7 linked regions of the Coturnix japonica genome follow. The protein of the gene in region 5 purifies or fractionates together with the protein of the main gene of each other region. This does not show direct contact. Links are inferred from orthologs where the notes say so. Each region holds a gene or a part of one and is shown on either strand. Other genes may lie near its edges.

Region 1 (4,794 bases), on a different chromosome or scaffold from region 5:
GAAGTTCAGCATGCATCTCTGCACGTGGCACGGATTGTTGCCACATGTCCTTGGTTATTGATTATGGTCAACAAAAGAACAATTTGAGAGCTGTGAACTTTGGATGGAACCACTGTTTTGCTACTCAAACATTCCTTCTGAAAACAGAAACCCGTAGAATGTTTTTGGGGAGCAGTCTGTCTACCTGAGAAATTCAGTGAATAGAGATCAAGAAGCAAAGGTTTAGGGCTTGTTTTCTATGATCTGGATTACCCATGTCTCTTTTCAAAACTTTTCTTGCAGTGTACCCCTGAAAACATCAGAAATCTTCATGTTTAGGAGTATTTTGTTTCCCCCAGACTGTTGGTGTGGAGCTGTGCAGAGCAAGGGAAGGTCAAGAAATGTGGGAAGTGATGACTCAATTATTGTGCTTTTGCTAATTCCTTTGAACTGTGGATTCTAAATTCACTGCTGCCTTGCAAACATTAGTGTGTGAGACTTGCAACTGATACCTGTTCTAAAAACAGGAGGGGAGGAGAGGGAGCTGTGTTTATTTCAACAAGCACAAGCAACACTTCCAAAATACACTTGTGGTTGTATCATAGTTATGAATCTGAGGTTATCTAGTGGTGAGCAGCGTGATGAAATGGCAGCCTAATATGTCCATGCTTTATTTGGAAAACGTAGTTCTTATCAAAAGATGAAGAACACCAGTGTTTCATTCACTGTGTTTGTTGAATCTCTAAGTGCAGATACCGTGTCTGTCAACACCTCATACTGTGAGATGCAGGAACTCGCCTTTCACAGCTGCACAGTAAGTTCTTGAGGATTGTGTGGCATAGAGACAAATGTCCTCCACTTTCTCTCCTTCCGTGTGTGTTTTTTAGTCTCTCTTATTGTACAATCAAAGTTAACAAAGGAAGGAGATGTCTCTTAATCAGATAGAGTTGCATTTATGTTGTGTTATGGTTTGTTTTTTTTTAAGACTATATTATCTAACTGGGGTGGTGGTTAACAGATAGATTGTAACAGCTTTCTAAATTCTTTGGGCAGAGCTGAGCTCATACCAGCTATTATATTTAAGAAGCCCTACAGATTAAAAAACAAACAATCAAACAAACAAAAAAAACACAAAAAACAAACATAAAAAACTCTTTCCTTACTGCAGAGTTTAACCTATAGAGTTTGGGTGTGCACCTTTGGTAAGACAGCTATCCTCCTATTTAAAAATAAAATGGATGAGTAAATCCTCCCTGGCAAACCAGGGATCCTCAGACTGCGGGTGTATGTAGTTTGCATTGAAGAGAAACTGCCTGGAGGGCACAGGCTGTGGCATAAAACGTATGTCCTTATTTCCACAGCCATGGAACTGGGGCTGGGGGATGCCTTTCTGCTGCCCACCGCTCCCAGTTCAGAGCACAGGCACTTGTTTGGCCCCGTGACAATCACGCCAACTGCGGCATGTGTCTGATAGTGAAACAATGAATGGCTTGTTCTCTCAGAGGAACAAAAAGTGGGTTGGGTTGAAAAAAGATAAATAAGAATTTCTCAGTGGGTCATTTTAGGCTCTCACGGCAATTTGAATGTGCTGAATGAGTGGCTTCTGAACTGAGCCAATGGGGGTGGTCAGGCACAGGCATCACTTTTATCCCACACGGGGGAGGAGGGGTGAATGAGCTGGAAGATATAAGCTGAAACAAAGCCATGCAGTCCTTCTGAGTCATTCGCATGCACTGGATGGGTAAGGCTTCCTGCTTCCTGGGACGCAGAAGTGGGGTCATGATTCTAACAATGGATGCTGGTAAGTCACTTGTTATTAAATTTGTCTTTGATTTTTCTGGGAAATCTCGCCTTTCCCTCTTGTCCCCAGCTGCAAAAAAGACAGTTGTAAATTAGGAAGCTGAATGTTAAATAAAGACGTGCCTACTTTAAGCTGTGTGCACTCTACTGTGTGGTTTTTCTTGACTGTTAGTCACAGAAGCACATAACCCCAAGACCATGGTACCAAAGTTGTGTTTATTCACTCCTCCATCTGTCTTCATTGTGGCCTGTGGAGTAGTATCATTTTTGTATGATACAAGTCAGATTTTACACTTTCTGTAAAGAGCTAGAGACAAACTAATGTGCTGTCAGTAGCTTGTTTTACTTTGTGCTTACAGAAATCTTGTGCTGGGGAGGAAGGGGAAGAAAGTGCTGCATTCTCATGACGATCAGTTCTGTTTTGTATGTTTATAGCTCAGGAAATATGTGTGAAAAGAGCACATGCAGGATTTTTATTATTATTTTTTAATTTACCATGGAAGTGAAATCTTTAACATAATACCCTGTGTGATAGGGAGGATGAATGCCAGCAGTAAGATATAGGGTGGTATGTCTAAAAGAAACAAGGAATCCCAGTTGTCCTCCTTGAGGAGGGGGCTGTGTTTCCATATCATAGCTCGCATCCTTTAAATTCCTCAGCAAAAAAAGGTTCTAAGATGTTAAATGGTTATGGGTAGGGCATAAAGTGCCAGCACTTGTGTTCTGGCAGTGTGCTGACGATTGCTCTTTCTCTTACCAGTTGCAAGCATGCTTGCTGCATTCTAAGAGCTCTGTTGAACTTTTGTCAGCAATTGGTTCAGCTACTTTTCCAGCAGTGTGCAGAAGCAGCACAATGTGACAAGTCCTACAGGCAGCATTCAGAGTGATGAACTTATTCAGGCACATCTTGCAGGTCTGTTCAATCTACTTGTCACATGCTCAGTTTAGTCCATGCTAATGAAAAGCTCTCTGTCCCCTGTACGTCTGAATTAATTTGTTTGGGCACTTGCTAGGGCCTAAAGGGAAACTGCGCCCACATCCAACTGACTTTTCTGAGACTTGCTCAAAGTGACAAAGCTGGGCTCTCCATGCACTGTTTGAAGGAAACAACAAACCTCTTCATTTAACCCACTCACACTTAATTGAAGTTACTTTGTCATCCACTGTCACTGCAGACAGTATTGAAGGCAGTGACTCCTGTCTTCGATGTATGTTGCATACTTTGCAAAGCCCAAGCCCTTTAATTGAGATAATACGATAAACAGAAACTCAGTGAGGAGTGAGGTAGCATATAGCTGACAAAGGGGTACAGACTTTTCCACGATGGACCTATTTTTTATGTTTTATTTGGTCACTTTGATTAGCTTCTAGAGGATCCATATTTCTGGCCCTTCCTAAAGCAGTTTGAGCACTGGGAGTTAGTAATGCTCTTCTCTCTGCCTTGAGCAAGAAGAACCAATGTCGGTGCTAGACGTTGCTCCTGCTATTACAGGAGGCAATGTGCAGGTTGAAAGAGGTCCCAGCAAATAACAGATTCAGACTTTGTGAACAGGGTACATCATCTCCTTCGGAGTCCTGGAGTTCCTGCACTGTACTGGAGTAATTTAACTCTTTGTTTTGGAAAGACTGAGGNCCAGACAAATAAGCACAAGCAGCATGCTGCATTCTTGAAACCATCTTCTTCTAAACAACATGTACATGGAAACTTAAAAATACATCTGTTGTTTATGTATCCTTACGTACTTGTGTGCTGCTGCTTTGCACCGTGAAGTGAACCATAAAGATAACACTGCTCATCTGCCCTCCCCCGGATCCAAAGGGTGTCTCCTTTCAGCACAGTGCCACTGCACCGAGTGCTCGGGGTCGCAGGGCTCTGGCAGCCCTCGGGGTGCTTTTCATGGTTCTCTTGACTTACATTGTTAGCAAGAACTCATTTTGGAAGCACCCAGGTGTTGAAGAGTTCTGAAATTATAGTCCTGAGCTTCTTGGTGGGAAAATGGTTCAAAATACTAGAAAGGAAACACTGTAACATAAGGGTTTAGCAGTGACTTCTGGTGCTTTGCAGTTGTGTTTAAGTTACGATAAAAATATGCAAGCAATTCAGTACCTTAATCTGGGCCATGGATAGGGCGCCATGAAGTTTTATCTGCTTATTTTTACCCACCTTTAAGGCTGAGCCGACTGTTCTTGGTACTGTTTGCTTACTTCAGACTGTATGTTTGCATTACGAGTTGGGGCTGATTTAAAAAAATTACTGGCAATAAATGCTGAAGATGTTTCTAATACAGCAAAACCTTTTCTCCTTAAGAGGACTATAAAAATACATGCTGGTTTGTTTCTGTTTTTATGAAACATGTTTTATTCTGTCACGTTTGTCCCTGCAGCATTTAATTTCTTGTAGGAGCGGGACTTTAAAAGTTGTGGATGGGGGGAATAAAAAGGAAAGCTGCAAGACAGAGCTGACAGTATAATTGGATTTGAAGCAGCTACAGGCTGGGACTGTTGCAACAGCTGATTTGATCCTTCTGAGTTTCAAGAGCTATTTATGGTAGATTAGCTGTATCAAAGCTCTACTGTTCCAACCATAAAAGGCCGGTCCTATGCGAAGTTGCCACACTGCATTTGGCTTAGTCCTCCGAGGTTGGAGAGCCTATAGCTTTTTATGTGGATAAATCCAGTGATGGATGGAAGTACTAAAGGCAGATCGAGGAGTAACATTGTCGAGGACTTCAGATGGCAGCGAACTCTTAAAAGGAGATTTTCACTAATAAATTTTTTGTTCTGATGTTTGGAATCAGCGCTTGGAATATAGCTCCTGCGTGTGCACTGCATTTGGTGAACGCGTGCTTTTAGGAAAGCGTTGTTCTAAATTTATCTGACTTATCTGAATCATCTTGACTGCACATGTACTCGCCAGCCTTGCATGTTGATATCTGGTAACTTTGTGAAGTCACTTTTCCGTTTTATTAGCGGTGAGCATTAGTCCTTTGGAAAGGAACCTTAGCTGAAGGGAGA
Region 2 (4,308 bases), on a different chromosome or scaffold from region 5:
GAGCACTGAGAGCCTGAATGTCCATGTGGGGCTCCCAGGTGTAGCTCCTCTTGCAGAGGAGGACCCAGCAGGAGCTGGGTTGCTTGTTTGAGAATGTGGTGGGCGTGCTTCAACCTTGAGCAACTCTTGCTTTGCTTTATGATGTGTGTGAGGTTCGGTCTTCATCCAGTGCAGGACTGAAATGCCACTCACTGGCAATGATCGCACTGCAGCATGTATCCCTCTGCAGGCACAAACCACGGGCAAGAGGGATGATTTACTGCCTCGGCGTGTCTGGGCTCATTGCTCTCCAGGTTCCCATGTTGTGTTGAAGGGTTTGCTGTAAGCTGACAGCTGGGCCTTCTCTGTGGCCGTGCGGTAACCCAGGAACTGGCAGTGGAAACAGGATGTGTTGATTGAGTTACTGTGGTTTTCTTTGTACCCAGATTGCTTTTACTTGTGCACAGCACTTCTGTCTCCTGGTAACATATTTCATGGAGTTACAGTTGGGTCAGAATGAGCTTAAAGCCCACCCAGCCCCAACTCCTGCCATGGGCTGCTGGCCCCTTCCTGGTTCAGGCTGCCTCATCCAACCTGGAAATGATAAATCCCAGGGAGGAACGTTTGAACTGTGAACCCCCATTTTCCTTAATGGTTTCCTCACAGTTGGTTTTTCTGCTCACTGAGTTACAGTAGTAATTTACATCGCCATTAAGCTGCAGCCCGAGTTAACTCAAACACAACCTGAAACATGAAATCAGTCACAACTGCCTTAATAACAAAGGCTCAGTCCATCCTTTTAACAAGGAAACTGGACTCACCAGTCCCAGCAAACATTTCAATCTCTTTATTTCCAATTGCGTTGCTCATCTGCGATACAAAAGTCCAGTTTCCACAAAGAGTTATTTAGAACAAAAAACTAAAAGATTGATACGTAAACAACTGCGTACACCATTATAATGTGCAGAGCAGGGATGAGATTCAGCGCAGATCATGCCAAGATTGAAACAAGCATGAATGACAGCGGCTGGCTGCTGGTTGCAGTTTGTTGAGGCAGCACCTGCAGCTGTCTCAAAGCACAGGAAAAGCTGTACTTTTCTCATCTTCAGTCCCTTCTTTCAGCCTTGGTCCTTCTCCATATTCATAGACCAGTCCTGAATTCATCGAATATGAAGCTGGGCACGTGTGCTTCAACGACCTAAAGGAAAGGAGCTGGTCAGGTTCACTGTTCGTTTATGTGTTCTGCTTGTCCGTTAATGCTGCATTCTTAATCTACCATTTGAGCATGTGAGCCTGTTGACCTGAACAAGGAATGAGCACCGTGCCAGGCATGTAAAGTAGAGCAAGTCCAGAGCTGCGGGAGGTTGTTGGGCCCAGAGGTTCCAGACAGCACCAGGCTGAGGTGGGGAATGAGGGTAAGACTGGAAGAGTCTCCCTTTTAGCCCAAAGTACAGCTAGGAATCAGCAACTTTTCTTAACTAAGGTATGGACTCGACCAGATCGGATTATGCCTTATTTGTAATCTCATATGTAAATTATTTTTGCATCTTCAAATGCCGTTAAGTCACACTGCATCCAAGAGAAAGTGTCTCTACAAGCAAAGACTTTTAGAACTTCCCTTGTACGTGAAATACAGAAGCTGCACAGGAAGCCCTGCTTCTTTGGAAGGAAGGCAAGGCAACGAAGGGCCAGAGACTCAGACTTCCTGAACAGCTCTCAGCCTTAGACTCAGAGTGTTGCTACACTTGTTATTATTTCATTCCACAACATCTGAGAACTTTGGTTTTCTCTTTTCGTTTCCTGAAAGCCCCCCAGCAATGAGAAGATTGAATGGAAACAGGCTGTTCCTCCAGTCCATACAAAACAGAAAATCCTTCCTGTATTTTCCACCCTCTCTGAATCTTCTAGAAAAATACAGTTTCCATAAAGATACAAGGACTAACATCAAGATAGGTTACACCAAGCACAGAAGTAACACACGCTGTACAGAGCTCTTGGTTACACAGACACAAAGAAACCCATTTTGAGCCATTCCTGTCAGGTAACAGATTTCTCATCTCTATTTTAGTTTGGTGTTCTTTGACAGAACATCTACAAAGGGTAAAGGCTGCTTCTGGACATTCCGAGCAAGCCCATCGTTTTGGATGTTCATTTACAGATTCATTTACAAATGATGCCATATTCTAAAGTAGGCACAGCTTCAGGTATGCAGCTGTGGCATAAACCAAACTTAGTTCCCCAGAATAGGGCTCCATATAGAACGTGTACGAGTCTCTTTCCAACAGAAACTACACCTATTATTTAGAATACCTCATCAGAGCTTTTTTTCAGCCCCCTGTAAGAATGAAGGGAGAAAAAAAACAAAACCTTGCAGTGAATAGCACTTGAATGGTCTGAAAAGAATCCAGGCAGATTCAAGCTGGTGTAGAAACTGTTCTACCATCAGCTGCCACATCCATTAACATCCCCTATGGGCATCCCCCAGCTCCCTGAATTTTCTCTTGCTGCTGTGTTCAGACGTAGAGACACATTGCAGCTCAGTGAGGACAGCACACCCAGTGAGACGGGGAATTTGTTCTTACCTTCCTTGGTAGTTTTGTGTAGCGAATGTAATCCTCCAGGAACATGAGGGCAGCCACCACGTCAGCAGGCATCTCTGGTATCTTCTGGCTAATGTTAAGCAAACACGGAGACCACCATCTTACCACGTGGCTCCCTGCGTAACACTCTACTAAAATGCCAAGCTTCACACAATACTTTTTCCATTACATACCACGTGATTCCATTACAAGAAGAGACACACTTTAATCTTAGACTCAAGTCAAACAGTATTATTACGCCGAATGTACTACGCTAAGAAAAAAGCAGCAGAAGCCCTTAGTGGAGGTGACATAAGGAAAAGTGAAATGTGGATACCTGACGCACTGCTCCATCGTTGAACGAATGAACTGACCGATCAGAGTCAGAAACTGCTCCGTGTACCTTGAGTGGAACTGTTTCAACAAGGTGAGAAGCCCCAGAACTAAGGGAAGCCAGTCAATCTGATCAGCTGGCCGCTTGCACACCATGCCTGCACACAAAACAAACCCCAAAGCACATGTTTATAAAGCAGCCTATTCCTGGGGGCAGAACGCGTTATGTATTTTCATAAGATTTTCTTCTGGGCCTGTTCTGCCTGTCCACACTAAAATCAAAAACCAACGTCACGACTGTATTTCTCTCACAGCAAATGGCTTAGGGACATTAACAAAGGCATAGGGTGGAATGGCAAAGGCAGAAGTTTGGATGTTGTTTCCTGCACCACTTTATTTTGTTTTACTAAGTCGTGGTTTTAGCTAGGATAGAATCATAGAGATAGAATCAGGTTGGAAAAGACCTTAAAGATCATTGAGTCCATCCTCAACCTGACCATAGTACCCTAACTAACAACCCCCCACTCAATCATATCTCTGAGAACCACATCCAAATGGTTTTTAAACACATCCAGGGATGGTGACTCAACCACCTCCCTGGGGAGCCTATTCTGGCGCTTAATAACCCCTTCTGTAAGGAAGTTTTTCCTGATATCCAACCTAAACTTACCCTGGAACAACTTGAGGCCATTTCCCCTCATCTTGTCTCCTGTCACCAGTGAGAAGAGACCAGCCCTGCTCTCACTGTAAGCACCTTTCAGATAGTCAATTTTCCTTCTAGTAGCTGCCACGTAGTAGCTGTGTATTCAGGATGAGAATAATATTGATAGCACCGATGTTTTTGTTGCTGCAGAGCAGTGCTTACACTGAGCCAAGGATGTTTCAGCTTCTCACGCTGCCCTGCAGGAAGGAGCTGGGGGGCACAAGTAGCTGAGAAGGGACAGGGCCAAGGGGACATCCTACACCATACCGCACTATGCTGAACCACACAGCTAATGGGGAGCTGGCAGATGGTTTCACATAGGCTTTCATTAGATTCAGACAGTGGACAACCCGTACAGTACCTAAATTTTTGCTGTACTGAAGTTTTGGAAACTGTGAGATCAGAAACAGGAAGTTGACAGTGGGAAAATACGGCAGGCGTTTTGTTGTGATGTAGATCTGAGGAGAGAGGAAAATAAAAAGGACATACGTTTCCCATAACATGTTCCCCCTCAATTAACAACATGAGAGAAAAGCAAATTACATCAAGCCCTCAAATGTCAGCCTGACCTTATTTAATGGATTGTGAATGCCAGCTGCTTCCAGGTAAGCTGTGATTTCATACAGAAGAGTGTTGTCTTCTTTAGGATAAGGCAGTGATGGATTTTGGTAATGTGCTTCTATATCAGCCAGTATGGCTCTGCAAGAGAAAGCA
Region 3 (4,350 bases), on a different chromosome or scaffold from region 5:
AACAGCCTTTATAGCACTGACCTATACAGTATTCAATGGTCAAAACTGCTAAACTAAACATGATTTAGGAGACTGATAAGAAACACGCAGCACGTCATAAGGAATTGTGACTCAGATGTGGAAATTCATGCTATCCTTACAGAAAATGAAGGCTAATTGCTACATGGAACAACAACAGCCGTTGTCTGTATACACTAAAAGTTCCATTAAAGCAGTACACAATATGTTTCACTTCATACCACTGCATGCCTTTAACAGCACGCACATTTAACTTTTTAAAAGCTCAACACCATCCTCCCTTACTTCAGCAGCGCGTCCCCATCCAGTGTCTAAAGATAGACTTACACAAGTAAACCTATTAGGATTATGCCATTCTTAATACTCCTGATGCCCATTTTAAAGTCACTGACTGGTTAAGATGCACCGGATGCATAGTATAGGGCTCCTTACACTCCAAAGGCAAGCCTAACTAGAGCCTATATCGGCCAATGCCATTTTCTTACTTTTTGATGTTCTTGCATTTCGCTCCCAGAGTTGTTCCTCACTTCAGCAGCTTTCTCAGGCTTTACTTCACTGGTCGATGATGTTGGACTTGAAAACCTAAGGCAAAAAAGCTTCATTCAGTTCTTTCAGATCCAGATGGTTAACATTTACACTTTCTACCAAAGCAGACTGATGATACATCATCTTGTCCCAAAAAGAAATCACCCAGAAAGTATACTTCCTAGGGAGGAAACACTGCTATTAAGTGTCACAACTAATGGTATTCAGTGGTTTTACTGCATCTAGACCAAAGGACTAACAATTTTTCAGGCAGCAATGTAGCTTATGGTATAGCATAAGATTTTTGTAATTCATGATAATGTAAAATAGTTTTTTAAAAAAGTTATTAACATTCTCATGCCTCAGTAATAATATTTTCATTCCAATGCTGGAAGGGAACCTCAAAGGTCACCCAGTCCCACCTCCTGCAATGCACAGGGACATCCAAATCAGGCTGCTCAGAGCCTGGTCCTGCCTGACCTTGAATTATGGAAGTCAATGAAGTCAAGAGAATTGAGCAGAATATTTCTGAAACCTACATCTTTGTCAGGTCTGCAGAAAGAGGTCGAGATTGAAGCGATCTACGAAGATTTCCTGGCTTAGCATCAGTGCTTTCTGTTGTAAGTTCTTTGATTCTCTGCTGGATGTTCACGCACTTGTTTTCCCTCTCAGCAGCCGATGGGAGAGTCTCTGTATCTACAGAGGCACCAGGATTTTCTGACGTGAACAAACTGATGTGTTTCTTAACACTACCTCTTACGATGCTGTTCTCCTTCTCTGAGGAAGCTGCAGGGCTTTCACAGCTGAGAAACACACACGTTTCCTTTTGATCCAACCTCTTCCCTTCCCTGTTTGTTCTGCTTTCACCGGCACTTTCAAAGGCTCTCTCAGAACTATACAAATTAGTCACTATGCTTGGTTTTGTCTCAGTTTGCTCGCTTTCAGATTTCTGCTTTGTTTCCCACGTGTGTTTTCCTTTATTTAGGATGCTAATCTCCTGACTACTGCATTTCAAATTTGTTTTTGAAGAGCTGCCTTTATTAAATTCAATTTCTTCAGTTTTTGGCCCCGTTTCAGACTGACCATGGCTGCCCACGTCAGTAAAAGAAGTTACTGATACAGTCTCCTTGCTCTCATGGGATGAGCAAGCCTTCTTGCTCGTAGAGAGGTCTTTAAGTTCAAATTTAGCCGTCAGGTCCATAGACAAAGGCCTTGGTTTCCTAACCCACGATTTCTCCGTAGGAGACTTTTCCTCTGAAGCTTCCACAGTACGATGCGTTTGATCTCTCAAAGATTCCAGAAAAACAGCAGATACTGGTCTAGGTTTTGGCCTTTGCTGCACATCAAGAGAGATACCCACTTTATTGTTTATGTTATTTGCATCAGTGTTGGTTTTCTCCACTGAACGATCTTCAGGAGCATCTTTCTTTTCTCCAGTTTTGAGGGAGTTCCAAGAGACTGGTCGAACACTGGAGGAAAGCAATATCTGCCTGTGAAGAGACCCTTCAGGACTCCTGGATGTCTCATGTGATGGTTGAGATGGTTTCTCCTGCTTCACATTGCTCTGAGACTCTTTTGTCTGTATAGTACTCAACACCCTGTGGTCATCAGCAGCCCTTTTTCCTTGGGCCAGGCTTACCTTTGACTGCTCCGTGCCTGCTGTCTCAAAAAGAATGACAGTATTTGTATTGTGACCACTATAGAAAGTCATGTTTGTGACGACTTCACCACCAGCCTTGCTCTCATTTCCAATGACTTTTTGATCTACTAACGGAGGAACATTTCCAGCTGATACCTTGGCAGACGTGGTTTCTTCAGAAGGCTTTCTAATAAGACTGCTTGTTCTAAAAGACGTAATAGGTGGTTTTACATTTGCAAAAGTATCTGAAGGCGTATCTTTAGAAAAAGGTTTGGGGAAGAGTCTTGGCCTTGATCCCAGCGACGGCATTGTTGCAGATCTCAGAGTGCTCCCAAATTTGCTCTTCTCTTCAAGCGTTAGCGATGCTGAAGGCTCCTTTGCTTTGCTGCTTACATCTGAGAGCACACTTACATACACTCGCTGTGATTTATCTTCAGTTCTGATCTCATTTAAGTCAGGCACAGTCGTCAAAGACGCCAAAGTAGAGTTTATCTCAACTCTTGTTGCCATAGTTGTAATTATACATTCAACAGAACTGAAAAAATCCAACAGAGAAGGAGAACCTACAAGGAAAGAAAACACAAGCATTGCTGTAGAGTCGGTACAAACATCCAACAAATTAATTCTAACTTGAGTTCGGGAGGTAGCTAAGCTCAAATTAAGGTGTGTTTCAAATGTGCAGGTGCATCACAGAACAAAAAGCTTATTTCTCTTAGGAAGAAAAAAAAACCAAACAGCAAAACACACCATGATTCATCAGCTAGGCCCAACAAAAAACATAGCAAAACCTACAAACCCATCTGTACAGCACCAAGTTATCAATACTCAAGCAAATTTCATGGGTTAAATTGCTTTAAAAGGATCATTTATTTCTAAAGCAGGCTTCCCCATGTCAACGTACAAACCCCACTCCTTTTCACAATACACATAGTTGGCAAGTATATCCTTTCACACTACCAAAAATATGGAGGTCAGCATGACTGAAACTTATTTATTAGCTACGACCTGCAGCTAAACAGAAACAAACACATATCCCATGCATTTCCAAAAGCCTTGCTGCTACTCACCGTGATGTGCATGTTCTGCTGCAGCTGATGGATCTGAGCCCACTCACTTCTCATAGTGAAAAGTGGAGTTTGCCAAGATCACACTAAGAACCAGGGAAAGGGGTCACTTCAGCAGCACAGATCAGACCTTCCCTGCAAATCAGAGAACATTCAGAGTGTGGCATGGCACGCAATCAGATCTACACAGGTAATACCACTGGAGACAAAAATACAGAGTATTTCAAGGCAAAAAACTGGCTCCTGCTCGGAAACAAAGGCACCAGATTTAACCATATGGATTAAGTGAATGTGTAGTTTTCAGTTATTAAAGAATCAACAAGAAATTACCACCTGAATCACCTGCAACTGTGAAGGGTAAATAATTTGGTCAGCACAATAGTTATTAAACGCAAACACAGTTAAATCCACATTTCAATGAGTACCATTTGCAAATTCAAGTGCTGTCAACCACTGGCTAAACACTGAGCTCTGTGTTACCGTAATCTCAATTACTGTAATTTACTTTCTATTGTAAATCTCCTTTCTGCGACAACATTATTGGGAAGGCCTACCTGCAGGCTGACCTTCAAATGGCCCATTTTCAACATAAACACAGCTTCTACAGTGACAAAGCAGTTTTTCCTACACCTCCCCGATAAAGGCAGGAGATTAGCTCTGCCTTTAATCACATTCTTACTGCAGAGATGAAGGAAAACCAGCAGCAGCAGCCTCCCCTCCAGCTCACCTTGCCAGGCCCCTTCACCTCCCAATGCACTCAAACTGCTTTCCCAACCACTCACCCCAAACCCCTCCAGTCTGCAACCTCTTCTTTCCAAAATAGCCCCCAACCCAATCAGCTTATCGGGATCAATCTGTTCCTTCCACGATCTCACAGATCCTCATGAAATCTTCCTCCCTCTCCTGCTCCTTACTCTAAGAAACACCATCAAAATCCGATTAAAATGCTCTCAACATTCCAAGGATGAAAGGCTTTGTGAAGAGCAGCTATGCCCTAAAAGCAGAAGAGGAACAGTGCTGAAAGCAAGAGTGATGCTAGCAGAGGCAAGAAATCAACTTGCTGGTTTCACAGAACCATAGAGCTGTTTGAGATAGAAGGGACCC
Region 4 (3,678 bases), on a different chromosome or scaffold from region 5:
ACATCCCTTAAATGGTTTCAGCAGCGGGAACTCCACTGTGTCCTAGCACAGCCTCTTCTGTGACAAAATCCTATCTAAAAATCCAAGCAAAGCCTCCCCAGTGCACTGTGAGACTGCTTTGTCACATCCTACCACTCGTCACCTGAGGAGAAAGAGTGTGACATTCCTTGCTGCCACCTCCTTTCAGGTAGTTGCAGAGTAGAGGCTTCTTGCTGAAAACTTGCTGACTTCAGCATAATGAGTAATTTTTTTATGAAGTTGGATGAATTGTTTTCTTCTTAGGACTAGGGGGATATTAACACAATAATCCCATGATAGCTCAGCATTTGAATGGTACCACCTTATTTATCATTTGCAGGTGGATAGAAGTCTACCAACATTCTTCATTAGGTAAGACGCTTTTAAATAGCAGGTAGAACTACTGACAGTTCATACAGCTTAACACTTAAGAAAATTTAGAAGTAAGAGAAGGGAACATGCATCTTGCATTCATTTTCAACAGAGGACTGTTGAAAAACTTTCCTGAAATCTCCACTTAACTGCAGAGATCTAAAATTCCAGAACCAAATTCAAGAGAATTTAAGGAGCTGCTGAAGTTCTGCCCCTTGTTATGATACTGGCTAAAATTTTCATCCAGTATTTGAGCATTCTTGAATTTTTAGAGAGACTGGCTCTGAAATTTCTTGTGACCTCACTTAGCTATTTGTCAAAGCAATGGAATATATGGACTTGAATAGGCTTTACAGTGAGCTAGAGCAAAATGGTAATCGGTTCAGTTTCCAGTCCTCCGATACATGCATTTTCAGTTTTGTCATGTGTTTAAAAGCTGAATAAATAAAAAGAAAGCAGTTAATAGGCAGCAATAGAGATGCCATTTTACAGTTTACTTTATGATCTGTGGACAGTCACTCCAGGCTTTTGCTTTCCTCTTAGCCAGTGCAAGCCAGGCTGGTTCTGTTGACACAGGGTTTGCATCAGGTGTGGAGAATCTCTTGGCCACCTCTTTTGCCAGTGGTGTTGGTGGAACAGAATCTGAAATTTCCACTGTGGGGAGGAGGAAACAAAACAAGTTTCAGTTGAACTCTGTTGGGAGAATTTCAGAGAATTCATTTCTATTAAGTTGTTCTGATTTAACAAAATACTCATTTCCAACTCTATTATAGTTAAATCTTACTTATATGCAAAATAATCAGATGACGAAGGAGCAGAATTTCCTTTTTCAGAAGCTTTGTTAAATGTTCTCAGTCCAAATTACTTTTAGATGCATTTTCACATTCTGAATATTTTAAAGTTTTCAAATTGCAGCTACTGCTGTAGGCAGACACTGAAAGCCAATAATTTGAAAGGTTGCAGTAGTTTATGCTATTTTAAAAGCTATACTCTCTTTAGCAGATCCTGTTGCAGAAGATTCAAGTGCAAGCCTGAAATAGATCACATTTTTCAATTACTATAATTTATTTATTTACTTTAAGACATTAGAAGAGAATTCAGCAAACCTATTTTAAACATTTTCTAGCCTGGTCTTCTGCTTATACTACCCTACTCACTGTGGGAAACCCAAACCAGTGCATTACCATTCATAGCATAGACATACTGGCTTATATTATATTTGTGCTGTTGATAATGGCTGCCTGACTCCAACCGTAGACAGTGATCATATGGATATCCAGTCATTATTTCCTTTACGACCAGCACAGTTCTACACTTTCCCTTTAGGAAAATTCAAAATCAGTGATTTTCCTCCTGAAATTCAGCTGATTCCTCTATTTACCTTCAGAGAAGCCCTCATTATTTACAGCGTAGCTTATAAAAAGGTTTAATCTTTACCTATCTGTACTCCTCTCCAAAACCTTTTGCCTAGAACTAACATTGCAACAGTTACTTCCCAAAGGTCATGGGATTTCATGTATCTGTTTTTGAATGCACAATTTTTTCAGTTTATCTAAGTGATGAGTAAAGGAGTAAGTTTTTTCTGGTTCCAGCTGTTCAAACCAGGTACTTGGCTGAGAGAGACAAATCCTAAATTCAAAATGACAATCCCTCAATACCCTCAATTTCATTTAATTGGTGTTTGTATTTTGGCATGAAATGAGTACTCATACAAGAACGTGATGTGCTTTATCTGCCACACAGATGCGTTTTGTAGGGGCTCAGCACCACTTGCACTGGAGCAAACCCTCAAAGTAGAGGCAAAACAATTCTACAGTTGCAATTTATAGCAAATCATGTTCCCTTAAGCTCACCAGTCTTGTTCCAGGAACACTTGTTGCATATGGTATGGGGAAAGAGCCTCATTTATTGGTCTTTTTATTTTTAAGTTATACAAGATTTTCAGAATTGCCTCAGATTAACTTGGAACACCAAGTTAAAACCATGTGCTGGCAGCTTATGAGACTGCAGCGAGTTGTGCTGAACACAAATGCGTTTGTAATAGTAGGGGGAAGAGAGGAATAAAATCATTGGCCTTCTCAAAAACATGCAATACCACTCGTAAAACTGTATTATTGCTAGAGCAAAGGTGAATCTGTACCTGTCACAGAAGTTGGAAGGGTGTTAGACTTCTTCAGCTGCTCCCTTCGTTCTAGTCTTGACACAGCCGTCTCAATTTTCTTCTCCCCTTCTTGGGTTGTAGATTTCTGCAGTGTGCTCGTTTTGCTGCTGCTGCCGCTTTTATTATCTGATTGATTATTTACAGCAGCCTAGAACAGAGGAAAAGTGGTAAATGAGAAACAGTCTGTCACAAGGCAACCACAAGTAAGAGGTGTCGCACTTGATTCTTTCATTCATTGCTTGTCCTTTCCTCTGCTTTCCTTTCATGCAAAGGATCCAAATGCTCTGATACTTCTAGAAATGATGGTTATTAAAGCTCATAAAAGAATTAACTTTTTCAATGTGTCACTTCAGTCAAAATATTGAACAGTATGAACCACCCTACCTGTTACACAGAGCACAGAAGAACAGGGCGACTTCACACCCACTGCTGTATATGTCTCTGACTATGGATCTGTCTGTGAGAAATGTAGATCTCATCACAGACATTAAAATATACAGTTATCCACACCACTTCCCTTTTTACCATCCATACAGCATCACTGCTTGTATGGCCTGTTGTAAGCACCTGAAGGTTTTGTAAGACAGTTCATTTCATTCATCTGTCTGGTATCCAAGTATTATGATAGAAGTGAATTCAGACATGAATGTTCATCTATAAATGAGCATTGCAGTACTCAGGCTTTGAAAGAACTGTGTTGCATACCATTCAGCTGCACCAGCTGCACAATGGGCAGGCTTACAATTACCATTAACTCCCACGCCCCCAATATTAAGGCATCAGAGTTTATACTGATTGTCACGATGTTGCACGTTACTTCCTACTGGAGTTTACAAAAGGGAACTCCAGTCCTTAAAGCTGCTTTTTACCCACTATCATCTTAGTTTTTATGAAGCCTTACAAACCAACTGCACGTGCAAATACTTTGCATAGTTAACAACTAGTTCATACTTTTAATGGTATCGTTGGTATTTCTAAAGATACTCACAATTTCTTTTGCCAACTTCTCTGCTTGCTTTGCCTCTCTGGCTTGTCTCCTCTCTTCCCTAGTAGCTTGCTGCTCACGAAATCCCTTCTGCTTTTGCAGCGCTAATGTGATCCATAGTGGTTGTGAAGCTTCAACTTTT
Region 5 (4,350 bases):
AGAAAAAATTCCCTCCTTCAGAAAGGGGCTGCCCTTCACAAAGCTTCTCTGTGTAATGTGGGATTCAAGTTTCTACTGGCTCCCTGTACAGGAAATAACCACAAAACTGAAACAGGTATATACCCATTAAAGACAAGCACATCTTCTGAAGCCCTCAGAATCATTACGTTACTTTGCAATGATCACACAAATATGCAGTTAAGCAGCTAATACGTAACTAAATTGTTCTCTCTCTTTGGCTTCCTGGGCTCCCCAGTTCTCTTGAAATATTTAAAACATTGGCCTAAGTCTCTCCTTATAACTGGGTACTTCATTCATCAGGACACAGTTAGGATAAGCATACCTGAATTTTCAAGATGCCAGCCACCTGAGTGGTCGAAGGGGAGATTGTAAACTTCCATTCCGACCTCCAACGGCCATTCCTTTCAAAAATAAAAATCGAAAACCAACATTTCACCTCATTAGTTAAGGGGAAAAAAGCCCAACAAAATATATGACTGTCAGTCAAAAGAAAAGAACAAAATACCCAGTAGAACTACACATGCACAATATCTTTCAGATCATAAATATTCAGCCCATAACCAGTCATGAGGAGAACAGTTTCCTGGAATACTTATCCCAGGATTTGGAAGAAGACCAAGGACATTCATTAGTAAGGAGCTTTTAACAACAGGACTTAGCTTCTGAAAATATCTAAAGGCTTTAGTGTTCTTTCCTTCTTTATTACTAGACATATATAACCATTTTTTTTCCCTTTCCAAGACTTGGAAAATTTGCTAACTCAGCCAAATCCACACTTCACAGAAGGCTAACAAAATGTTGAAGGGAAGGAACCTTAAAGTAGCAAGACTGTCTGCTAGTGCTGAAACTCTTAACTAGATCTTTTAGCTCTTCTACAATTTCTGTTCCAGGGCATCTTGTTTCCATCCAGTAGAAACCAACTCAATAATCTCGCCTAATTGCTTAAAGGAGTTCCAAACATCTGAATAGCAGTATGGGGAGACTGTAGTTTCACCTGATTTCTTCCCTGTAAATTAGGCATTTTCACTTCAGCTAGTAGGTCAGTGGGTTAGAAGGTTGGTACATTAAAGCTGTGTCAGGATGGTACTGTGGCCACATCTTGATTCCTGTTTTGTCTGCACTTAAAGAAAAGCTTCAATACTCTGAGATCCAATTCTACTACAGCTACGTGTAGATTCCAGAGCACTCAATGATTTCTATAGTACAGACAGAAAAGCTTGGTGGGGAACCACAAATGGTATCCATGCACTTCTCTGACCTTAGAATAATCAGTGTAATGCCAATAGCGCAGTTGTTCAATACACTGTATTTCACTGCATTTGTATCCATACAAAAACTTACCAAAAGTTTTTTGCTTGGAACTGATGGCTCTCTATGCATGCAATAATGGTTTGCTGTCCATCAATTGTTTTACCATACACCTTAGTTAGAAATGAAAAAAGCAGAGTTAACATTTCAGCTGTGCTGTTCGAACTGCCTAGCGCTATCCAGTCCTAGAATACATTCCAATTAACTGCAAAATTCTATTTTACAATCAGTATGATTCTTATATAACATTCAGTACATTAAACATGATTATATATTAAGAAGAAAAGTAAGATTAGAAAAATCTAGACGTCAAGTATTTTAAGCTGTATATACTGCAAAGGCTTTTGTTGCTGTTTTTGCTTTTTCAACTAGAAACTTCAAGCATACATACTGTCATGGAAGTATGTCATGGTACATACTGTCATGGTGGAAAACCTAGTCTTCAGGGCCATCTGTAATACATTTGGCAGTGCCACTGGTATTGCTCTTCTCTTTCTCCTCGCACTTTTCATAGAATAAAGGATGGCTGCACTAATGAGAGCAGTATTTTGAATTGTTAATTTAATTCTATGCCACGCAGTGGTCAGATAGTTTAGGACTTACTGTGCATACACCGTTTGGGTAGTGTTCTTTCACATACGCCTTCATTGCTGTTTCAACTGAATGTCTCCAGGATTCTATGGCATTTTCAACTTCGTGGGGCCTTGGATCAGTAGCCTCCTTTCTCAAGTGATCAAATTTAAAAGAAATCTTGTTCTTGGGATCCAAAAACTTCCCATTTCCCAAATCACCATGTTCTGTTATCAAAACCTGTGTTAGCAAATTTTAGTTAATTGTACCAGGATCAAACAAAGAAGAAAAAATATATATATCACACCAAATTGTAAAATTGTACGTTACAGTGCACACTTAACTGAAGATTCCTCAGAGTCACATTTGAAACAAACTATTTGTGTATATTAAGGGAGTTAATGTATGTTACTGGCTAACAGGAAGCACTGACACAGAATCAAAATCCACATTACTACCCTCTTACTGACACAGAAAACTCAATTAGAAGTTCTTCTCTATTATCTATAATGGCTTCAAGTACTACAGGTAAACAGTTCCCACAGCTCCAAATTAGGCCTAACTGAATGCAGGACAATAGCACAGAATTAAATTGCAAGCTCTTTAGATGCTCTAAAAGACTAACTTGCTAAACTGGTACCATTGTTGGGCATAACACATATATATTATACTATATACACATAGTATATACATACTATATTTTAGTAGAGAAGATGCATTTCTTTTCCTTTGCTTTCCAAGGTATGTTCCAGTACCAGAACATCTTTAAAAATGTAAGGAATGTCATTGTATTCATACCTGTTCGTCATAACCGTCAATTTTTACTGGAGTAAACTGGTCCAAGTTGTACTGTGCAAATGCACTACAAGAGGAAAAAAATACCAAAAACCTGCATCAGACATGAGCTTTTTTCTTTAGTAGATATAATAGACTTAAACAATAGTTAATTATCTAGATAAAAGAATTATATTACTGCCTCATTATTTAGCAGGCCCTAAAATATGGGCTCACCTTGATTCGCTTGGCACTGATATTGCTATTCCAATCGTTACACAATGATTCACATTCAAAAGTAACCTCATATAGACAGACACTTCAGCTTTACAGTATCCCACAGAAAGTGAAAGAACAGAAAATGTAAATTCCACTGAGTTCCTTCCTATTCAATTAAACGTCTCTATTCTGGCAGCGGAAATTAAATCTGGCATGTAATACTTTAGACATAATGTTTTCATATAAAAATAGGGTCTTTCCTACTTCTGCAGGTCTAGCATCTACAACATCTACCAGTAAACAGAGAAACAAATGAAGAAAAGTGGAGACAAATTCCAAAATCCAGGTCACCCCTTTCAAAAGCAGCTACTCTAACTCATCAGGATACAAAATATTGTATCTTAATCAAAGATGCACAACACTCACAACAGGGTTTTATGTGCAAAAGCATCTTTTTAAATCACTTATTGCTAAGGGAAGCCTTACTGAACTGACTCTTATGCAATTCAGTACATGGCAGCTGGTACTTACTGGGCTGCTCCTTCCCTGAGAAGATTGTCATTATTAAGCAGCAACCGAACATCTGAAAGAAGATGTTTATAACACAGAAGTATATTTAATTCAAAGATTTGTTCCAGTCATGTAACAAATGGCAACAAATTACCCAAAACAATTAAAACCCAAACCATCCCATACCATATAAGTAACTAAGCAGGAAAACCCCTTGCTTCATATTTTCTAATTTTGACTGAACTAAATGAGAAACGCACTACAGAAATGGGATTCCTTCCAATACAGTCTGGTAAGAAGATACAAGCCATACCCTGTAGGCTTTGTGACAGCTAGAGGAATTTGTTGAACTAGTTTTTGGAGAGGTAAACAGCATACAATCCAAATAAGTTCACTTCTAAGAGATAAACTACAAAAAACTCTTGCACAGTATTGATGGTAGTGGTTATTTTAACTCTACAACACTAATATATCATCCCATAATATCTAAAGCATTTCTCTATATTGAAAATAATAATAATAATAAACTAGGAGATTTCAGGTTTAATGATCTCTCCCTCCCTTTTCTCCCTCCCCCCTCTTCAAGGAGGAAGTCTGAATTGCATGTAAATGCTTTTGATACTTAGCACTCTAACACTCCAGTCTTTGGATGGACATTTATGATGTTATTATGTGTCATCATCAAACACGCAGCTGCATTACTGTGTCGGGAGCTGTAACTATGAACTGGCTTTATAGCAGTTTTAGCATAAATTGTATTTGCTTTCAGAGATCTGGGCTGACAAGCTGCTCACCAGCAGTTCATTTCACAAGTACACTACAAGCTAAGTTTAGGTATTAATTACCTACTCATAGTTTAATTGAAGAACAAAATACCTCCTCTCATTACATTCCTCAACAAATCTAAGCCCCTGCCATTTGTTAGAAGTTCAGTGTACTCACCTTACG
Region 6 (3,451 bases), about 4.9 Mb from region 5:
AGGCCAAGATTACGTAATGATTTTCAAAATGAAAGAAAGATGAAGCAGCAGTTCTGGAACTTAAACTGCATCTTAGGAGCCCTTGGTGGGGTAATTAAGGACTTAGGAGAATGCTGATCTTTCCACTGCAAAGATTATACTACTGTGCATAAAGAACAAGTGGCTTCTTACTTCCAGAGCAGAGACCACAGTAATGGTCCATCTGTGAAATATATGACCTGTTAACACTTCTGCTCTAAGTTTAGAATAATGTTGAATCTTGGTTTCTGATTATTGTGTCTACCTGAAAGAAGTTTTTACTTGAGTAGATATAATTGCTGCGTGGTTTTATATATCATTCCTCAGAAATTTCTTCATTAGAATGAGGCAGATATACCACGTGGTGCTTGAAACTCCTGTAGACCTCTTTTTGAGTCATGTACTTGCAATGGCAATACAGTGGCTGGCAAGTGCTATAGTTAGGGGGCCGTGAAATGCTGAATACCCACAGGGCAGTGCCAAAGCATTTGTCTGAACTCTGAATTTGTGTAATTAAAACCTGGGCTTTGGCTTCAAAACAGTGTTTTCTTTCAGGTTTACATTCTTACATTTAAAACAAAACAAACAAAGAAAAATCCCAGACTGTTAATTAAATTTGTTTTAGCTTTTATCTGGCTTGAATACTTGCTGAGTTGCAGTACTTCATTAATTGCGTGAGTTGTTTATACTCCTCCCTTTTGTTCTCAAGGGACAACAATATATATGCGTATTGCTTTCACAAGAGTGATTTTTTTTAATGCATTTTACAATGGAAACAAGTTTGAGAACATTTCATGCTGGACTCTGAGTATTACTGCACATATGGGTTTTAATATAGCTCTTAGAGCAGAATGTCTGCGTTTTATTATGTCTTGAATGTAACTGTTTTTTCTTTTTTCAGATTGAAATAGATAATGGTGATGAGTTAACTGCTGACTTTCTTTATGAAGAGGTTCATCCGAAACAACATGCACATAAGCAAAGTTTTGCTAAACCAAAAGGTCCTGCAGGAAAGAGAGGAATACGAAGACTCATCAGAGGCCCGGCAGAGACTGAAACACCCAGTGATTAGAATCTGTTGTTTGAATTAATTGTAGGGTTTTACAGTAAGAAAAATGAAATTCTGACTTTTGCCAATGAACTGAAACCATTCCATTTATAGATGCTAAGGAAAAAAACGTTCCTCCTACTCTCCCCTCTTCTGAACTCAATACTTCCTGTGTTGTTAGACCATTATATTTGTTGACCGTATTTTACAACACTGGGAACAGTTAATTATTTTAAAGGCAGAAAACTAAGCTTGTACTCTCTCGCTTTAAATTAGAATCCATTATTTAATAGCAAATCACAGACAAGACTATTAAGCCCACATTTTCTGTGGGTAAGTAGCAGCTCTATGCTTAGATAACGAACCTGCATTTCTATGAGCAGCCTACTGATATCTGCAAGATTTCACTTGTATGAAGAGTTGAAGCTGTCATTGTCCCAGATAAATCTTTATTTTTCCTGGTGGTTTTTATGGACAATAACGCAACAGAATGTTTTGTTCTGTTGATGTGGTGAGTTGTTGGGTTTGGGTTTTTATACTAGAAAGATTAAAATCCGTTATCTGTTAGTTTATATGAGTACTTGTTCAGGAATAGCTTATTTTAATTGCTTCCTGTGCAAAAGCACAGTCATGACGAATTTACAGCTAATTTGGCGGGTTTGTCTCTTAAAGACATCTGACATAAGACCACTACAGCTTTACCAGACTTTGATACCACTCATCAGCCTTATGTATTACTGAATGACCAAGTCAAATGTGATAAAATGTGCAGTCTCTATACTCAGTAAATTATGGAGCTGCTTTCAAAGCAATAAGCTTAAAGTTTCTTCTTAAATTATTGATTTTCTACACACTTGGATCTAGAACTGCAAGCTCAGTAAAAATGGAAATAGACTTGCTTCGTAATGGTGACTTATCATTGAGATCCTGGTGCTCTTGCGTTACCAACTGCAATATAAACTTGTAAGGTATTGTAAAATTAAATACTCCTAAATGTTTGGACTTTAATAGTAAATTAAATCTTTAACAAAATCCAAGTAGGGGATCCAAGCACTTTGGTAGCATTTTATGGAATTTGGCTGTTTTTTCTGGTTCTCATCTAAATGACGAAGTCAGCCAGAATAGTCTGAACACCAGTAAAGCACGAGCCATCTGTTTGTTAGGAAGAGGAAAAAACAGATGATTTTAAGAAGGAGGTTGAAGAAGAAATAGTCTCTTTTCAGTGGTATGTGAAGACAGGACAAGGGGAAATGGACATAAGCTGGAACATAGGAAGTTCTGCATGAATGTGCACCAGAACTTCTTTACGGTGAGGGTGATGGAGAACTGGAACAGGCTGCCCAGGGGGGTTGTGGAGTCTCCTTCTCTGGAGATATTCAAGTCCCACTTGGATGCCTACCTGTGTGACCTGGTGTAGGGAACCTGCTTTGGCAAGGGGGTTGGACTCGATGATCTCTAGAGGTCCCTTCCAACCCCTACAATTCTGTGATTCTGTGAAATAGATGTAGAAGTCAAATATTGGATGAACTTAAATGTTTCAGAATGGTGTAATGAGGCAAGTACTAAAGGCTGAGTTATGGGGACTTGCTTCTTAGTGTCCTGTATTGAGCTTTGTAACTTTGATTATTTTTTTTAAAACTACCTGGGAGTTGCAAGTCTTGGATCCCTGCATACAGGTGTCCAAATCATTTGTTTACCAGATGGAAGGTAGATTTTAGAATAGTTCCATAGGGAAATAAGGCTTAAACACTACTAGTTCCTGATGAAAGCAATTTTTTGTCTCATGTTATTACGTTACTTGGAGATGCTGACTTGTTATTGACATTTGACATTGCACTATGTAATATGAAGGTTGCAATAGTTGCTGGTTTTATTGTGTGTTTTTTTCCCCCCAATATGCAGTAGAGATCTGACACCTCAGCTTTCTTCATTTAATCTTATACACTACATCAGCCCAATTCAGAAGCTCCTGATGATCCTCTGCTAATCTCCTGCCCTCAGCTGCTGCTTTCTTTTTCTGCCTCTTGCCTTTCTCTTTAGGGCAAGGAGCAGGTCTGAAGAATTTTTCTTCTTGTGTACTGTATGTCATACAAGCATTATTGTTTTTAGACATTGTTAATGTGTATGCAGCTTGCACACTGTAACTACATTTATTTTTAGTTGAAATCTGAATCCTTTCAGCACCAAATTCCTTCCCCTCCCTCCCCTACAAGGTGAATATTTGACTGTAGCAGCTAAAAATGACTTTAAAAAGGCTTTTTGTTTGAATTTAGTAGTCCTGTCTGCATCTCAGCCATAATGAGCGTACATATATTTTTACACTCATTTGAGTAAAGAAGTTCAGCTTTTTAATATGAAATATTTTGAATAAGGAACAGTATGGCC
Region 7 (4,350 bases), on a different chromosome or scaffold from region 5:
AACCCACCCCAATGTCCCCAGCACGTCCATAGTCCCACACCAACACCTGACCTGGCACATCCACCCAGCATCGTCACAACTGTCCCTTGAGCCCAGCACTCACCCTGAAGACTTCTCAGGCTTAGGGGGCAGCACCAGGGGTTTCCCACTCAGGCCAGGGATCTTGCAGGATTTGGAGCGCTGTACATGGGGATCCTTTGTGGGAGTTGCCTTGCTGTCCATTGGTGATGCTCCTTCCTCGACAGAGCGGTTTCGACCTCTCAGCTTGGCCTGGGAGATGAAGTCACATGGGTACACAGTGCTCTCACCCCCTACCATCCTCACATCCTTCTACTGCATCCTCTCCCTCTTTCTCCATGCTGCCTGACTTGGACTGTCCTTCAGCCTGCCTGTTGCTGCCCACCCTTTAGAAATCATGTCCCTTTCATCTGCTTGCCTGGAGTTCCAGCAGGCCTTACCTTGAGGGCAGATGTGGTAAGGCCAGGGAAGAGTGGCACCTTGACACCCTTGCCCGATGGGGATGCTCGCACCCGCCGGCTCTTGGGTTCTTCTGCTGCCTCCTCATCAGAGGATGCTGCTGCACGGGCTGGACGGGGCTCTGTGGGGGAGAGCATCACTGTGAGACATCTTTAAGAGCACAACACCCCATCCCACTATCCTATTGTTTTCACTGTCCTGCAGGCTCTCACCTGTGGAGTCCTGGAAGATCCAACTGTCCCCTTCTGAAGTGGCCCCAAGGCGGAGAACAGGTGCTCGGTGCCTCCGTTTGCGGCCCAGGTTGGCCTTGCTGCGGTACATGGTACTGTCCAGAACCTCCGTGTCCTGCAAAGCCCAAGGGACAGCTCAGTGCCCAGCACAGAGGAGTTTCAGGGTCTCCACTCCATCCACTCCATCCACCCACTCATCCATTCCACTGCTTTCTATGGATCCCTTATGGTGACTGCCTTCCTACAGTATACAGTGGCCTTGCATCTGCAGCCTCTCTCTGCATCCCCCTGACCACCGGGCTCCCTTAGGGCTGTAGGAGGGAGTCAGAAGCTCCCTCTTCCCCACTCACCTCAAGAAAGGTGAAATCCTGACCAGAGAGGTCCAGAAGTCCCTCGGGCTGCGAGGCACTTGCAGAGAGCCTCTTTTCTTCCCAGCTCACCGGTCTCTTCCCATCTGGGTGGTCCGAAGGGGTCTCTTCGCTCACTGTTTCTAGAGTCTCACCAGCAGCCTCTGGTGGCAAAGGGGCAGCAGCCAGCTCAGGAAGGTCCTGTTGCTCCATGGGATCTGTTCTCGGCAGCGGGGCAGCCGATTCACCCCAGAGGGGCTCAGCAGCTGCAGGCTCAGCCACAGCATCATCACCCAGTGGTGGGCTGGAGTCTGAGAGATGGATGTTTTCAGGGCTCCTGGTAGGAAGACAAGAAGACACAGTTCTTCCAGCCCCAGCAAGCAAGCCCTTCCCCAGCCCCAAATCTCTCCCAATTTCCCTTTGTCAGCCTTCAGGGGAAACTAAGGCACAGGGAAGGCCAAACACTGTTCCTGTGAATGTGGGTGAGCCCGAGACAAAACCCAGGTGTCTGGGACTCTCCCCCTACTTTGGGATGTCAACTGCCAAAGGCCAAATGAGATGCACACCAACAGGTGGCACTTCTGGGAAGTTTCCCTTAAGACCAGCAGAGAATCACACCACAGCATGTGAACAAGGCTGAGGCCTTATCCAGGCCAGCAGGAGTTTTGCCTTTGTCCTCCTGGCATCCTTACATTCCAGCAGCTTCTGGAAATGTATCATTTTGGAAATCCCCAGCTCAAGTATGGCTGAAATTAGAGCGTGGGGTTCCCCAGATCTTGGTAAGATAAAGGCACGGGGCTCATTCTGCCAATTTCTCAGGAGGCCAAGGGAATGCTAGCACCTCCCAGACTCCATCTCCACCACCCAGACCCTCCTTACCTGTCTGCTGAACCGTCATCACCTCCCAGGCTCTGCTCCCCAGCACTGAAGTCCTGGCTTCTGGCGGCACAGCGGGCCCCAAAGGCACTGGCCCACTCTTGGCGCCTGGCCTCAGCCTCACGCAGCTCCTCACTCCAGCCAGCTTCCTCTAGGTCCTGGCTCCAGCCTGGTTCCTCCACCTTGGCCTGCTGGGGCTGGGCAGAGCTGCCCACAGCTGTCAGGCCCTCATCCCAGGCCATTTGGTTTGGTTCACCCTCATCAGCTTTACCAGTAACACCTGAGGTGCTGAAGGAGAGATCACTGTGCCAGTCTTCCAGGGGCTGCCGGGACTCTTGCGGGACCTCAGACCTCATCTTGTCTGCCCAGGACATCAGGCTGTCCGCTGACACTGCAGTGCTGGAGGAATCTGACACTCGCTCTGTCCCAATGATGCCAAACTGATTTTGGTGTTCAGCTCCTCCAAGGCGCAGCTCTTCAGCCCAGTCCTTGGTGCCACTCTCCGACTGGTCAGTGCTGCCCCAGCTGGACTCATGGCCTGGGCGACTGGGGGCACACAAGCCAGGCAAGTCTTTTCCAACACCAAAAGCATTAGCCAGTTCAGTCTGGCCAATGCTGCATTCACCAGCCCAGCTCAGCCTGCTAGAACTAAACTCTCCCTTTGTGGTGTTCACAGAGCCATAATCGCTGGCCCAGACTGACCTGCTGGGGCCGAACTCCCTGTCCTGGCTCTCCATGTTCTTGGTGATGTATCCATCATCCCAGGCTGGTTTGTTGGATTTGAGCTCCCTGTCTTGGGTCTCCACATCTCTGGTGCTGTATTCACTGGCTTCAGCCAGTCTGCTGGGGCTGAACTCCCTGTCCTGGGTTTCCATATCCCTGGTGCTGTATTCATCAGTACACGCTGGTCTGCTGGGGCTGAACTCCCTGTCCTGGCTCTCCATGTCCCTGCTGCTGTACTCACTGTGCCAGGTGAGTCTGCTGGGATTGAGATCCCTGTCCTGGGTCTCTGTGTTGCTGGTGCTGTATTCATCAGTGCAGGCTGGTCTGCTGGGGCTGAACTCCCTGTCCTGGCTCTCCATGTCCCTGCTGCTGTACTCACTGTGCCAGGTAGGTCTGCTGGTGCTGAACTCCCCATCCTGGCTCTCCATATCACTGGTACTGTGTTCTTCAGCACAGGCTGGCCTGCTGGGGCTGAACTCCCTGTCCTGGATCTCCATGTCCCTGCTGCTGTATTCGCTGGCCTCAGCCGGTCTGCTGGGGCTGAACTCTCTGTCTTGGCTCTCCATGTCTTGGGTGCTGTATTCACCAGACCAGGCTGGTCTGCTGGGGCTGAATTCCCTGTCCTGGCTGTCCATGTCTCTGGTACTGTATTTGCTGTCCCAGGCTGATCTGCTGGAGCAGAACTCCTTGTCCGGGGTCCCAGCGTCCCCAGTGCTGGATCTGCCAGCCCAGCCTAGAGTAAAATCCTTGTCCTTGGTCTCAGCATCCCTGCTACTGTATTTACTGGCCCAGTCACTAGGGGTGACCTCCCTGTCCTTGATGTCTGCATCACCGGTTCCATACTCAGTAGACCACACAGGTGAAGCATCCTCACCATGGGCCTCCAGGTCCCCAGAGCCATACTTGCCAGCCCAGCCAGGCTGTCTGGAGCTCAGCTCTTTGTCCTGCTGCTGGCCATGTCCCACACTGTAGGGACTGCCCCATTCAGCCTTCCCGGAGCTGACCTCCTCTCTGCTGCCTGCACTGTCCAAGCCATACCCAGTACCCCATGTAGGTTTGCTGAAGTCTTGATCCTGCAGGCAGCTTTCCCTCGCACCGTGAGATTTGGACCAGTCACTGCTGCCAAGCCTCGTATCACCCATCAGTTCTGTCCCTTTGTAATTGCTGCTCCAGTCCCTCTCAGCAGCACCAAAGGCTCTATCCTGCTGGTTCATATCACTGATGCCACAACTGTTGTTCCTGCTTGAGTTGGTCCTGAACTTTTGATCCTGCTCCATCTCACCAGGCCAGTCCCCCTGTCTGGCCACAGCCTTATGGCTCCAGTCAAAAGCACCAGCCTGATGAGATCTCCCAATACCGAATTCACTGCACAGGTCCTTCCGTGACCAGCCAAGCAGACCCTGGAGAGTCAAACAGAGGAGAAAGAGTTAGAGAAACACTGCAGAGGATAATCTGAAAAGGGTTGGGGGATATCCAACAATACTCCTCTCCAAAGGAAGGCCAGGTCCCAACTGCTCATCCCCCCCAGCTTCACGAGCTACCTGTACTTACAGCCACCGTGCCTGCCCAGGGCCTTTCCCACCCTGCAGCACTTTGAGCCCTCCCCAGCTCATCCCGCAGCTCCAGGTTGGCCAGCAGCCTCCGGAGGATGGCCATGGTCTCTGACTCGCCAGCCATGGTTCTCCAGCGCACACGCG

The links.
Region 1: the proteins of CAPZA2 (region 5) and SVIL purify together in Homo sapiens (affinity purification with mass spectrometry; 3 studies listed by BioGRID and IntAct, counting the BioPlex papers as one, with this or other methods). This does not show direct contact. The link is inferred for Coturnix japonica from reciprocal best matches to the Homo sapiens genes CAPZA2 and SVIL.
Region 2: the proteins of CAPZA2 (region 5) and WASHC5 purify together in Homo sapiens (affinity purification with mass spectrometry; 3 studies listed by BioGRID and IntAct, counting the BioPlex papers as one, with this or other methods). This does not show direct contact. The link is inferred for Coturnix japonica from reciprocal best matches to the Homo sapiens genes CAPZA2 and WASHC5.
Region 3: the proteins of CAPZA2 (region 5) and KIAA1671 purify together in Homo sapiens (affinity purification with mass spectrometry; 3 studies listed by BioGRID and IntAct, counting the BioPlex papers as one, with this or other methods). This does not show direct contact. The link is inferred for Coturnix japonica from reciprocal best matches to the Homo sapiens genes CAPZA2 and KIAA1671.
Region 4: the proteins of CAPZA2 (region 5) and CRACD purify together in Homo sapiens (affinity purification with mass spectrometry; 3 studies listed by BioGRID and IntAct, counting the BioPlex papers as one, with this or other methods). This does not show direct contact. The link is inferred for Coturnix japonica from reciprocal best matches to the Homo sapiens genes CAPZA2 and CRACD.
Region 6: the proteins of CAPZA2 (region 5) and TWF1 purify together in Homo sapiens (affinity purification with mass spectrometry; 3 studies listed by BioGRID and IntAct, with this or other methods). This does not show direct contact. The link is inferred for Coturnix japonica from reciprocal best matches to the Homo sapiens genes CAPZA2 and TWF1.
Region 7: the proteins of CAPZA2 (region 5) and TNKS1BP1 purify together in Homo sapiens (affinity purification with mass spectrometry; 4 studies listed by BioGRID and IntAct, counting the BioPlex papers as one, with this or other methods). This does not show direct contact. The link is inferred for Coturnix japonica from reciprocal best matches to the Homo sapiens genes CAPZA2 and TNKS1BP1.

The regions. Positions count from the first base shown.
Region 1 is NC_029517.1:13,368,030-13,372,823, reverse strand, and holds the start of SVIL (supervillin), read left to right. Parts: upstream 1-1,660; 5' UTR 1,661-1,707; coding exon 1,708-1,780; intron 1,781-4,393; exon of another isoform or gene 4,394-4,794.
Region 2 is NC_029517.1:125,011,394-125,015,701, forward strand, and holds the end of WASHC5 (WASH complex subunit 5), read right to left. Parts: intron 4,294-4,308; coding exon 4,164-4,293; intron 4,053-4,163; coding exon 3,956-4,052; intron 3,050-3,955; coding exon 2,896-3,049; intron 2,650-2,895; coding exon 2,562-2,649; intron 1,178-2,561; coding exon 1,121-1,177; 3' UTR 804-1,120; downstream 1-803. UniProt on the Homo sapiens protein: Acts as a component of the WASH core complex that functions as a nucleation-promoting factor (NPF) at the surface of endosomes, where it recruits and activates the Arp2/3 complex to induce actin polymerization, playing a key role in the fission of tubules that serve as transport intermediates during endosome sorting.
Region 3 is NC_029530.1:6,064,410-6,068,759, reverse strand, and holds part of KIAA1671 (uncharacterized protein KIAA1671 homolog), read right to left. Parts: intron 3,382-4,350; 5' UTR 3,250-3,381; intron 2,746-3,249; 5' UTR 2,693-2,745; coding exon 1,083-2,692; intron 601-1,082; coding exon 504-600; intron 1-503.
Region 4 is NC_029519.1:58,448,853-58,452,530, forward strand, and holds part of CRACD (cancer-related regulator of actin dynamics), read right to left. Parts: coding exon 3,540-3,678; intron 2,700-3,539; coding exon 2,531-2,699; intron 1,045-2,530; coding exon 884-1,044; 3' UTR 1-883. UniProt on the Homo sapiens protein: Involved in epithelial cell integrity by acting on the maintenance of the actin cytoskeleton. Positively regulates the actin polymerization, by inhibiting the interaction of actin-capping proteins with actin.
Region 5 is NC_029516.1:22,316,728-22,321,077, forward strand, and holds part of CAPZA2 (F-actin-capping protein subunit alpha-2), read right to left. Parts: intron 3,476-4,350; coding exon 3,424-3,475; intron 2,762-3,423; coding exon 2,698-2,761; intron 2,140-2,697; coding exon 1,933-2,139; intron 1,443-1,932; coding exon 1,363-1,442; intron 423-1,362; coding exon 344-422; intron 1-343. UniProt on the Homo sapiens protein: F-actin-capping proteins bind in a Ca(2+)-independent manner to the fast growing ends of actin filaments (barbed end) thereby blocking the exchange of subunits at these ends.
Region 6 is NC_029516.1:27,259,350-27,262,800, reverse strand, and holds the end of TWF1 (twinfilin-1), read left to right. Parts: intron 1-919; coding exon 920-1,090; 3' UTR 1,091-2,312; downstream 2,313-3,451. UniProt on the Homo sapiens protein: Actin-binding protein involved in motile and morphological processes. Inhibits actin polymerization, likely by sequestering G-actin. By capping the barbed ends of filaments, it also regulates motility.
Region 7 is NC_029520.1:7,738,626-7,742,975, forward strand, and holds part of TNKS1BP1 (182 kDa tankyrase-1-binding protein), read right to left. Parts: intron 4,054-4,350; coding exon 1,934-4,053; intron 1,392-1,933; coding exon 1,058-1,391; intron 823-1,057; coding exon 690-822; intron 599-689; coding exon 459-598; intron 271-458; coding exon 104-270; intron 1-103.